Linked DNA regions of Callithrix jacchus. Each later gene encodes a partner of the first gene's protein in a complex. Links are inferred from orthologs where the notes say so. Each region holds a gene or a part of one and is shown on either strand. Other genes may lie near its edges.

Region 1 (3,500 bases):
AACATGGTGAAACCCCGTCTCTGCTAAAAAATACAAAAATTAGCTGGGCGTGGTGGCAGGTACCTGTAATCCCAGTTACTCAGGAGGCTGAGGCACAAGGGGCGGAGGTTGCAGTGAACCACGATCAGGCCACTGCATTCCAGCCTGGGCGACAAGAGCAAAACTTCGTCTCAAAAATAAAAACTAAAAAAAAAAAATGGGATAATCTGGCGAGGCACGGTGGCTAACAACTGTAATCCCAGCACTTTGGGAGGCTGAGGCGGGCCAATAACCTGAGGTCAGGAGTTCGAGACCAGCCTGGCCAACATGGTGAAACCCTGTCTCTACTAAAAATACAAAAATTAGCCAGGCATGGTGGTGGGTGCCTGTAATCCCAGCTACTTGGGAGGCGGAGGCAAGAGAATTGCTTAAACCCAACAAGCGGAAGTTGCAGTGAGCCTAGACTGTGCCGCTGCATTCCAGCCTGGGCAACAGAGTGAGACTCTGTCTCAAAAAGTAAATAAATAAAATAAAAAATAAATGGGATAATTTGAATGTCATAGATATGATACATAAGCAGTGGATGTTTTGGTGATACATAAGCAGTGGATGTTTTGGTCATCAGAGAAGGCTTAGGTGGGTTTTTTCCTCATTTTTATAAATCTGGCATGAATTTCAAGCCATAGTGAAGGCAGAAATCGTTGAGGCAAAAAGTAATTCAAGTCTCCCACTGCATGCTATCCAATTTGCCTGTGAATGAATGAATAATTGAGTATCTTACCCTGGATACCATTTAGCATGTTGTTCCCAAGGGTCTTCACTGGGCTTCCAATCAGTTAGCCCTCCTCCACAGTGAAAGCACTTTACTTTATCACTGTCACCTAAGAAAACATACAAGAATATATGTATTTGTGCGACTAGAAGCTTACACAAAAATATTCAGTTAACACCTAAAAATTAAGCACATCTAAAAAACATGAAAATCTCACAGCTTAAAACAAGACATTCAAATTCACATCTAAGTAACACTTACAATCTCTATCATTTGAGGAAGAAATACTAAATTCACTGATTCAATCTGAGGTATTTTTACAGAACAAAAATAAAACTGTCCAAGTTTTATGTCAAAATTAAGATTGCGACTTTCTTTTTTTTTTTTTTTTTTTTTGAGACTGAGTCTTGCTCTGCTGCCCAGACTGGAGTGTAATGGCACAGTCTCAGCTCACTACAACCTCCACCTCCTGAGTTTAAGTGATTTTCCTACCTCAGCCTCCCAAGTAGCTGGGATTACAGGCATGCACAACCACACCCGGCTGATTTTCTATATTTTTGGTAAAAACGGGGTTTTACCATGCTGGCCAGTCTGATCTCGAATTCCTGACCTCAAATGATCCGCCTACCTTGGTCTCCCAAAGCGCTGGGATTATAGGCGTGAGCCACTGCACCCAGCATACTTTCTTTTTAGTATGTTATTTGGGCCACCAATATTGTACCTACTGTTTCAAACTGTGAAACTTTAAAACAAGTTATTTTCCAAGTGTTAGTAACATTAAAGTTCTACATAATGGAATTATGAGATAAGTTTCCCTAAGTTTATAGCCACATGACACTAAACAAACCTTCAAGATTACTATATAATGGTACATAAATAAAAATCTTTTGAAATAACCAATATTTTATAGGAATTATTCAATCTTAAAATAAATGGGTCAAATATATAATGGCATAATTTTTAAAAATATCTTTAGAAGCAATTACACCAATGACCCTTCCTGGCATGTCTACCATAGTTCATTTGAAAAGCACTCATATGAAGCACCAAGCATAATACAAGGCAGCTTCCATATATATACTTTGTGTACTAAAGGCAGATGTCAATTTTACTACAGCATGAGCCAAACTAAACTCTCTAATGTTAGCTCTTTTTATAAAGTTATTGTGGGCCAGGCACGGTGGCTCACACCTGTAATCCCAGCACTTTGGGAGGCTAAGGTGGGCAGATCACCAAGTCAAGAGATCAAGACCATCCTGATCAACATGGTGAAACCCTGTCTCTACTAAAAATACAAAACAGCTGGGTGTGGTGGCTCGCATCTGCAGTCCCAGTTAATTGGGAGACTGAGGCAGGAGTATTGCTTGAACCCAGGAGCGGGAGGTTGCAGAGAACCGAGATTGCGCCCTGCACTCCAGCCTGGTGACAGAGTGATACTCCATCTCAAAAAAATAAATAAATAAATAAAGTTATTGGGAAGATAAGCATGGTAGCTCACGCCTGAAATTCCAACACTTTGGGAGGCTGAGGTGGGCAGATCACTTGAAGTCGGGAGTTTGAGACCAGCCTGGCCAACATGGTAAAACACTGTCCCTATTAAAAAACACAAAAATTATACAGGTGCAGTGGTATGTGCCTGTAATTCCAGCTACTCAGGAGGCTGAGGCACAATAATAGCTTGAACCCAGGAGGCAGAGGTTGCAGTAAGCCAAGATCATGCCACTGCACTTCAGTTTAGGTAATGGAGTGAGACTCTGTCTCAAAAAAAAAAAAAAGTGCCAGGTGCAGTGGCTCACGCCTATAATCCCAGCATTTTGGTAGGCTGAGGCCAGCGCATCACCTGAGGTGGGGAGTTTGAGACCAGCCTGACCAACAAGGAGAAATCCTGTCTCTACTAAAAATACAAAATTAGCCGGGCGTGTTGGTGCATGCCTATAATCCCAGCTACTCGGGAGGCTGAGGCAAGAGAATTGCTTGAACCTGGGAGGCAGAGGTTGCAGTAAGCTGAAACTGTGCTATTACACTCCAGTCTGGACAAGAGTGAAACTCCACCTCAAAAAAAAAGTTATTAAAGTTATTGTGGGCCAGGTGGTCCAGTCTGGGCAACAAGACTAACAATCCGTCTCAAAAAAAAAAATTATTAAAGTTATTATGGGCTAGGTGTGGTAGCTCATGCATGTAATCCAAGCACCATGGAAGGCCGAGATGGGCAGATCATGAGGTCAGGAGATTGAGACCATCCTGGTCTTGGTGAAATCCCAAAGAAGAGAAGGGAGGGGAGGAGAGAAGAGGGGAGGGGAGGGGAGGGAAGGAGAGGAGAGGGGAGGGGAGAGGAGGGGAGGAGAGGGGAGGGGAGGGGAGGAAAGAAAGGAAGGGAGGGAGGGAAAAGGAAAGGAAAAAAAGAAAAAGAAAAGAAAAAAAAATTGTGAAGCTTAGAGAAAATGCATGAAGTATACATACTGTGCACATATAATAGGTGCTCAATAAATCAAAGTATTTTATTGGACCCATTTTGTTATTGGAGATGTCTACCATCTTTTGCATGTTATTACTTCCTAAAAACAATTACATGAAGAGAAATGTGACTCATAATATGGTAGTCTTTTTCACATAAGTTCAGTAGTTACGTTACAGGTTCAACATAAGAGTTCACAGAATAAGATGAATATAGGTATAATCATGCCAAATTATACCTAAATATTTACCAGTTCAGGGGGCTAAAGGCATCTATTTACTTTTTAGGAGCCCT
Region 2 (3,500 bases), on another chromosome or scaffold:
CTGTTATACCAATCTGTATGCCTTTGCGTACTCGTAACTTAGCTTCCACTTGTAAGTGAAAACATGATATTTGGTTTCCATTCCTGACATACTTCACTTAGAATGGCCTCCAGCTCCATCCAAGTTACTACAAAAGACATTATTGTAATGTCTCCATCTTCCTTCTTTTTTGTTTATTTGTTTAGACAAAGTCTCGCTCTGTTGCCAGGCTGGAGTGCAGTGGCACGATTTCAGCTCACTGTAGCCTCCACCTCCAGGGTTCAAGCGATTCTCCTGTCTCAGCCTCTCAAGTAGCTGGGACAACAGTCATGTGCTGCCACACCCAGATAATTTTTGTATTTTTAGTAGAGACAGGGTTTCACCATGTTGGCCAGGATGGTCTTGCTCTCTTGACCTCGTGATCTGCCCACCTCTGCCTGGCCAACAGCCAGGCCCCGTCTCTACTAAAAATATAAAAAAAATTAACCAGACATGGTGGTGGGCACCTGTAATCCCAGCTGCTCGGGAGGCTGAGGCAGGAGAATCAGTTGAACCTGGGAGGCAGAGGTTTCAGTGAGCTGAGATCATACCATTGCACTCCAACCTGGGTAACAAGAGTGAAACTCCATCTCAAAGAAAAAAAAAATGATTCCAATACTGGCTCTGCCTTGGGCCAGCTGCATCACCTTTAGCTAATTCTTTTCCCTTAGGGTGTGTGTTTCATCCAGGCTTCCATTTAATTAAATATTTTAGTAAAAAGTCTGTGTTCCAGCTACCTCTGCTATGATGAACTTACATTGTCGTATGGGAGCCAAATAGCAGAGTACAGATAAACAAGCCACATACAAAGGCTATGTGGGAAATGAAGACAGAGTGCGGGGTGGGAAAGGGCCAGGTAGTAAATATTTTTGGCTTTGTGGCCATAATCACTCAACTCTGCTTGTAGACAGGAATAGCTAGAGGCAATACATAAATGAATGGACATGGCTGTTTTCCAGTAAAACACTTCTTACAGAAACAAGTGTTGGGCCATGGTATGCTGACTCCCAGACTAATCAGGGACTCTGGACCACATCAGCCTGCCATGCCTCTGCCATCTTCACACATCCATGGGGAGGGGGACATTCAGGGAAGGAGGTTTATGCCTTAAAATCCAAGGAGATGGATTGAACTTGTAGTTAATGGGGATCTCTTGAAGATTCTCGCAGGAATGTAATTTGATGGAAATCTATTTTGTATAGAACTATGTAAAATCATCTGACATAGAAAGAGCCTAATACTCCAGGTTGTCGCTGTTTTTGAACTGTGTATGAGCACTCAGTGACCTGCTAGGAATTTAGGGGGAATTTTTCATTGTTGTAAACCTTGGCAAATCTTCCACTGTTTCTTGTATGCAGTGAACATACAACAAAATTGTGGATGTTGGATTAGAAGCTCCCTGAGGTCAAAGACTTTGTTTTCTTTGCTGCCACATATGTAGTCTCTGGGATGTAAGCATATTCACTTACTTGAATGCATTAATGGGGCAATAACCCTGAAGCTTAAATATGCAAAACGGCTCACCCCTAGGCATAATCTAAAACCATGTCACCTAATGAGTGTCATTTAAAAATATCACAAAGCCAGTGATGCCACTGACCTTGTGGCTTATTTTTTCTCTTTCCAGATGGCAGACGATCAGGGCTGTGTTGAAGAGCAGGAAGTTGTGGATTCAGCAAGTGAAGATTCAGATTCAGTGGATGCTAAGCCAGACCGGTCCTCATTTTTACCAACCCTCTTCAGGTAAGTTTCGTTAATCAGACACTCAGGACCGCATCATCCTGCCATGCCTCTGCCATCTCCACCCACCCATGGGGAGAAGGACATTCAGGGAAGGAGGTTCTTGCTGAGCACGAGAGGTTTGCACAGGTTCTTGCTAGCTGTATGCAGCAACACTGGGGTCCTCATGTACATCCTCTTCTCTGTGGGCCAAGCCCAGCAATGGGCAAAACCAGGCATTGGGAGGCTCCTGCTCAGCAGCTGAGTGTCTGGTAGCAGTTCCCAGGAATAAGGGGCTTTTCTCATTAGAGGTGATTTGCAGGCACCTTCAGAACAGAGCCTGGGCTGCTGCTGCCAGTGGGACCAGGTTTGACAAAAAACACAGAATCCAGGGGCCGAGGGGCAGGAGGTTTTAGGGTGACTCACTCCCACCCTGTGCCTCCTGAGGCACTCCATTGGTGGAAGGGGGCTTGCATCCTATTTTAATTCCCACCTTTTCCTTTCTTGAGTTCACTTTTAAAATTCTAAATTTTGCATTTAATAATATAATAGCTTCATTGATTAAACTCTTGTATGCATGCTTGGTATCATTGCATTCAGTCTACGTAATTGCACAGTTGGTTTTATGTTATCACCAGATAGGGAAACAATTGCGCAGTTGGGTTTATTGTTATCACCAGGTAGGGAAACTGAGGCACTATGAGGTTTAATAGCTTGCCTTTTTGCTGATAGTTAGTAAATGGTAAAGCTAAGATGAGAAACTAAACAATGGCAGCACCACTCACTTAAAGGTTCTGCTGTGTGCTTTCCATTTAAGAGTAGGACTAGCCTGGTACAGTGGCTTACTCCTGTAATCCCAGCACTGTGGGAAGCCAAGGAGGGAGGATTGCTTGAGCCCAGGAGTTTAAGACCAGACTGGACAACATAATGAGAGCCCCATCTCTACAAAAAAAAGATAAGAAAATTAGCAGGGTGTGGTGGCACATGCCAGTAGTCCAGCCACTAGAAAAGCTGAGGCAGGAGGATCAAGTCCTCGAGTCCAGGAGATCGAGGCTGCAGTAGGCCATGACTGTACCACTGCATTCCAGCCTGGGAGACTGAGACTCTGTCTTGAAAAACAAGTTTTGTTTTTTTTTTTAAAATAAAAAATGAAAATAGAGCTAAAAGGATATGGAGGAACCCCAAACCCTCCCTTAACCTTGATCTTGGATGGGCAGTGAGTAGAGCTTCCTAAGAGAAAAGAGGCAGTGTGAGTCAGATGCATCGCACTTCTTTGCATTCCCTAAGCCAAGTCCTACTGGGAGAGATAGCCACGGGGATAAAGGCTGAGGCTCGGGAGTGCTCCCAGGCAGTGCTCAGGAGGGGAGGAGCTGGTGGGAGGAGCAGCCAGGCTCCCAGCACCCCAGAGTGGACCTTGGGTCGTATCATCCCACATAGGACTTGGAAAAGTGGGAGAACCCCAATGCTATGGACCCAGATTCTGTTGTTTGCCAAATAGAGTCAAGAATATCCAGTGAAGTGACCAGAAAATATAGTTCTGACTCCTGAGACTTCACAAAACCATGAGAAATTGGTGCAGGCCAAGCCACTCCCCAGGGAAAGCTCCTTAGAGCAATGGTCTTCAAATGCCTTTGCTTGTATGTCCTCAAAATAATGTAAAGCTGTGTGCTCTCTTATATATTTTAAAATAACATACACATTTTTGTCAAGATAGTTGCAAAAGATGTAACATTTCACTCTTCCCAACCCTTTTTGAGAATTTC
Region 3 (3,500 bases), on another chromosome or scaffold:
TCATATAATTCCACAATTCTCATATTTTAGAAGTTCACCCTTGTTTCCTACCATTACGCATCAGTTCCACAATCTCTTCGCGTGTGAGATCGTTTTTATTCCTGACTTCATATTTCAAGTTCATGAAAGTTTCCCTGAGGTTTGCTGCATCCACATCTGTACCAGACCGAGATGCCATTCCTTGGAACAGAAAGAAGCGCTTTTAATTATACTGAAAACAAAGAATAACTACTTTGACATGAAATGAGCTACTCAGCAATTCAAAAGTCCACAATAAATTCTTCCTTTCAAATGAAAGAGAATTCTAACTATTTTGATCATGGTGACATAAAATCTCTTCAATTTTGTAGTAAGACACTTGAAACCATAACCTTATTAGTGTTATAGCCAAGATATCTTTCATAGCTGTTTAGGTAGTAAAAAACAGAAACAACGTACATGTCTAACAATAGGGGTTTGGTTAGACACATTATACTCACTTATATAATGCGATATACTATGTTGTCATTTTCAAACATAAAATTTTGCCATGGGGAAATCATCATTGTTTAAAAAAATAAAACTAGAAAACAATACGATCCTATAATACATACATTTATCTATCACACTCAGAAGAACTGCGTTTCTGACTCTAGCTTCCCAACGGTTTGGAGATAGCATTATAACATTCACAGTGTCTTCAAGGAAAACCCCCAAACGTTGTTACTGCTCATCAGATATTCTGCAGTGGGTAATCTTTAATCCTTCCCGTCACCGTAAGAGCTGTATGATTACCGGTTTCACGTGTGCAGATGTGGGACATGCAGTAAAGTTAACAAACTAGCCCAGAGTGACAGAGTGGTGCTGGGCCTCTATCCAGGGCTCCTGGCCTTCCTACCACTCCTTTAAAGAACCTTCCACATTCATGTACAGATTGACTGCATGACGCACTGAGACTTCAAAACGCTGAAATGTTGGTGGGAAACACACCTCAGAATTGAGTAAATTTGAGGTGTATGAAGACTAGATACAAAAAGTCTATACACATCTCCAAAATGTTGTTGATTATCTCAGCTGTGTGACAAGGTCACTGGCTTCTGGTGCTGGTGTGTTGGCTGCCTTTTTAAAAACTTTTTTTGTTTTTTAGACATGGTCATGCTCTGTGGGCCAGAGTACAGTTCACTGCAGCCTCGACCTCCCGGATCCAAGCTGTCTTCCCACCTCAGCCTCCCGAGTAGTCGGGATCACAGTTGCGCACTACCACACCCTGCTAAGATTTTTCTATTTTTTGTAGAGATGGGATTTCCCTGTGTTGCTCAGACTGATCTTGGACTTTGGTGCTCAAGGATCCTCCAGCCTTGGCCTCCCAAAATGTTGGGATTACAGGCATGAGCTATGGTACCTGGCCCAATCCCAGCCTGCCAGAGATCTCATGAGAACCTGACTTTACATTGCAAACTAGGAAAGGAACTCACTGAGGGCAAAACCCAGATTGCTGGTCTAAATACGTGGGGGAGGTGGTGGTGGTAGAGAAATGATATGCCTGTTTTTGGTTTTTTAAACAATGGATCCAAATGCGAAATTCTACAGGAAGAAGGTATCCTAACTAGATAAACGTAAGGCAGAATTATCTAGAACTAAATTTTCACATATGTATAAAGCAAAAGTAAACAAGGTGTTGTGTTTTTTAAGTTTGCGGTTGAAGGCGGCATCTCAACTTGTAGCCGAAAGCAATACAAGTTCCATTTAGAGCTCCATTATCTCATCACTCCTTACAACTAACCTGACACAGGCCCTGCTGTCTTCCCAGTGTAATCTGGCTTCCTTTCATTTCCACCACGACTCTGAAAGGTACTGTCCTAAATTAGATCTACTATAGCTTCTCTAACTAAAAATTAACTCTAATATGATTAATATGCCAATTCAAAGAATTGTCACGGCATCAATTTAAAAGGGAAACAGCCATAAGGGTCATTTATATAGTAAGTTATGCAAATTAAGTGAATGGTGTATTTTGGGGATGCGGTATTATATAATCGTTATAACAGATATAAAAATTATGCAGCAATATAAAAAATGCTATTACTTTAAGTGAAACAAGCAGAATACAACATTGCTTACATGTTATAAATAAAATCAAGCTTTAAAAAAACTGTCAAGTAAAAATATCAATACACCAAATGTTAATTAGCTTTTTTGGCATTGTGAAGGATTTTATTATCTATATTTCTAAAAAATATATAATTCTCAAATGTAGTACCACATTCGAGTACAGAAACCAAGAGGGGGCTCTATCTGGTGGTCAGGCCATGGTATGTTTAAAGAGAGCAGGTCAGTGGTAGAGACAAAATAGAAAAAGACTCTAGAAGGACTGGAACAAGTGAAGAGTACAAGCTTAAACTACATGTTTTCAAAATTTAAGCAAGAAGGGAAGAAGATAAATATCAAAGGAATTAAAAGGAACAGGATAAAAGAAAGATCTTTCTAAGATGGGCAATCTCTGTCAGCTTCGTAGGGTAAGAGAAGACAGGCAATAGAGCCCATGAAGATACAAGGAGGTGAAGCAGAACAGGAGATGCATTCAGAGCTCGGGCTTTGGAGTGACGCAGACTGAGCTCTGCCACCAGGCTACCTGCTCTGACTGTGCAAGGTTTAAAAACCTCTCAGAATGGAATTGTTTCTTTCCGGTTGTCATACAATTAAAGAAGGCAATGCTTGTGATATGTCTTGAAATTTCTGGGGAAAAAATAAATACTACTACTCAACTGTTTTTTGAAAACCTTCCGTTGGAATCAAAGAGGGAGCAGAAAGGCGAAAAAGCAGCAAAGACTGTGGAGAAGTCAGGACAGAAGAAGCATACAGACAGGAAACCAGCTGACGGGAGAGGAGACAGTTCACAGTGTCACAGTGCATCACACGGCCTGAGCGTGCTGCCCGGTCTCTACTTCACAGCTAGTCTGTGTCATAGTTTAATGACTAATAATACCGCAATACTGCTTTCAATATTATAGCAAATGTAAATGGCACAAATATTTAAAAAAGATTAAACATAATGTAAGATACATACCAGTGCTTTTATGAAAGTTCTTATTATTAATTATTAGACATAAACCCATTTCAGGATAATCCATTTTATAACTGCTGTCCAGGGATATACCAGAGTCCACTGATTTGCTTCCATGTATGATCTTTCTGTTTAAAAATCAAATAATAGCTTTACAAAGGTAGAAATGACCATGCTTTCTGTTTACATTAGTGCAATTTCTATAACTCACAGTAACAGTGAACACTTGTTGAGTGCTATAAACCAGACTGTCTCCATTACAATTTCACATCAACACATGTTCCACATGAGCAAATGACCTGCCATGAGGCTAAGAAATGTGCCAAGATTGTGCCACAGCCAAGAAGGAAGGGAAGTATCTGCTGGACTTCCGAGTTCAGGCTTTTAGCTTCCATGTTTTACATTTTCCTCTAAATTCTTAAAAATTTCACCAAATACCTTTATAATTTAAAAATTA

What was found.
Region 2: the proteins of XIAP (region 1) and CASP7 are in contact, whole or in part, in a crystal structure (PDB 1I51), measured with the Homo sapiens proteins. The link is inferred for Callithrix jacchus from reciprocal best matches to the Homo sapiens genes XIAP and CASP7. Residues at the interface, in NP_001158.2 of Homo sapiens: His136, Ala137, Leu140, Leu141, Gly144, Gln145, Val146, Val147, Asp148, Ile149, Ser150, Asp151; in NP_001218.1 of Homo sapiens: Tyr230, Trp232, Arg233, Ser234, Pro235, Gly236, Arg237, Trp240, Glu274, Ser275, Gln276, Asp279, His281, Phe282.
Region 3: the proteins of XIAP (region 1) and CASP3 are in contact, whole or in part, in a crystal structure (PDB 1I3O), measured with the Homo sapiens proteins. The link is inferred for Callithrix jacchus from reciprocal best matches to the Homo sapiens genes XIAP and CASP3. Residues at the interface, in NP_001158.2 of Homo sapiens: Ala137, Leu140, Leu141, Gly144, Gln145, Val146, Val147, Asp148, Ile149, Ser150, Asp151, Thr152, Ile153, Tyr154, Asn226, Leu231, Gly232, Arg233, Asn234; in NP_001341706.1 of Homo sapiens: Tyr204, Trp206, Arg207, Asn208, Ser209, Lys210, Asp211, Trp214, Gln217, Lys242, Thr245, Glu246, Phe247, Glu248, Ser249, Phe250, Phe252, Thr255, Phe256.

Annotation. Positions count from the first base shown.
Region 1 is NC_133524.1:119,628,224-119,631,723, reverse strand, and holds part of XIAP (E3 ubiquitin-protein ligase XIAP), read right to left. Parts: intron 861-3,500; coding exon 761-860; intron 1-760.
Region 2 is NC_133513.1:106,634,765-106,638,264, forward strand, and holds part of CASP7 (caspase-7), read left to right. Parts: intron 1-1,645; coding exon 1,646-1,761; intron 1,762-3,500. UniProt on the Homo sapiens protein: Thiol protease involved in different programmed cell death processes, such as apoptosis, pyroptosis or granzyme-mediated programmed cell death, by proteolytically cleaving target proteins.
Region 3 is NC_133504.1:6,755,016-6,758,515, reverse strand, and holds part of CASP3 (caspase-3), read right to left. Parts: intron 3,172-3,500; coding exon 3,047-3,171; intron 181-3,046; coding exon 52-180; intron 1-51. UniProt on the Homo sapiens protein: Thiol protease that acts as a major effector caspase involved in the execution phase of apoptosis. Following cleavage and activation by initiator caspases (CASP8, CASP9 and/or CASP10), mediates execution of apoptosis by catalyzing cleavage of many proteins.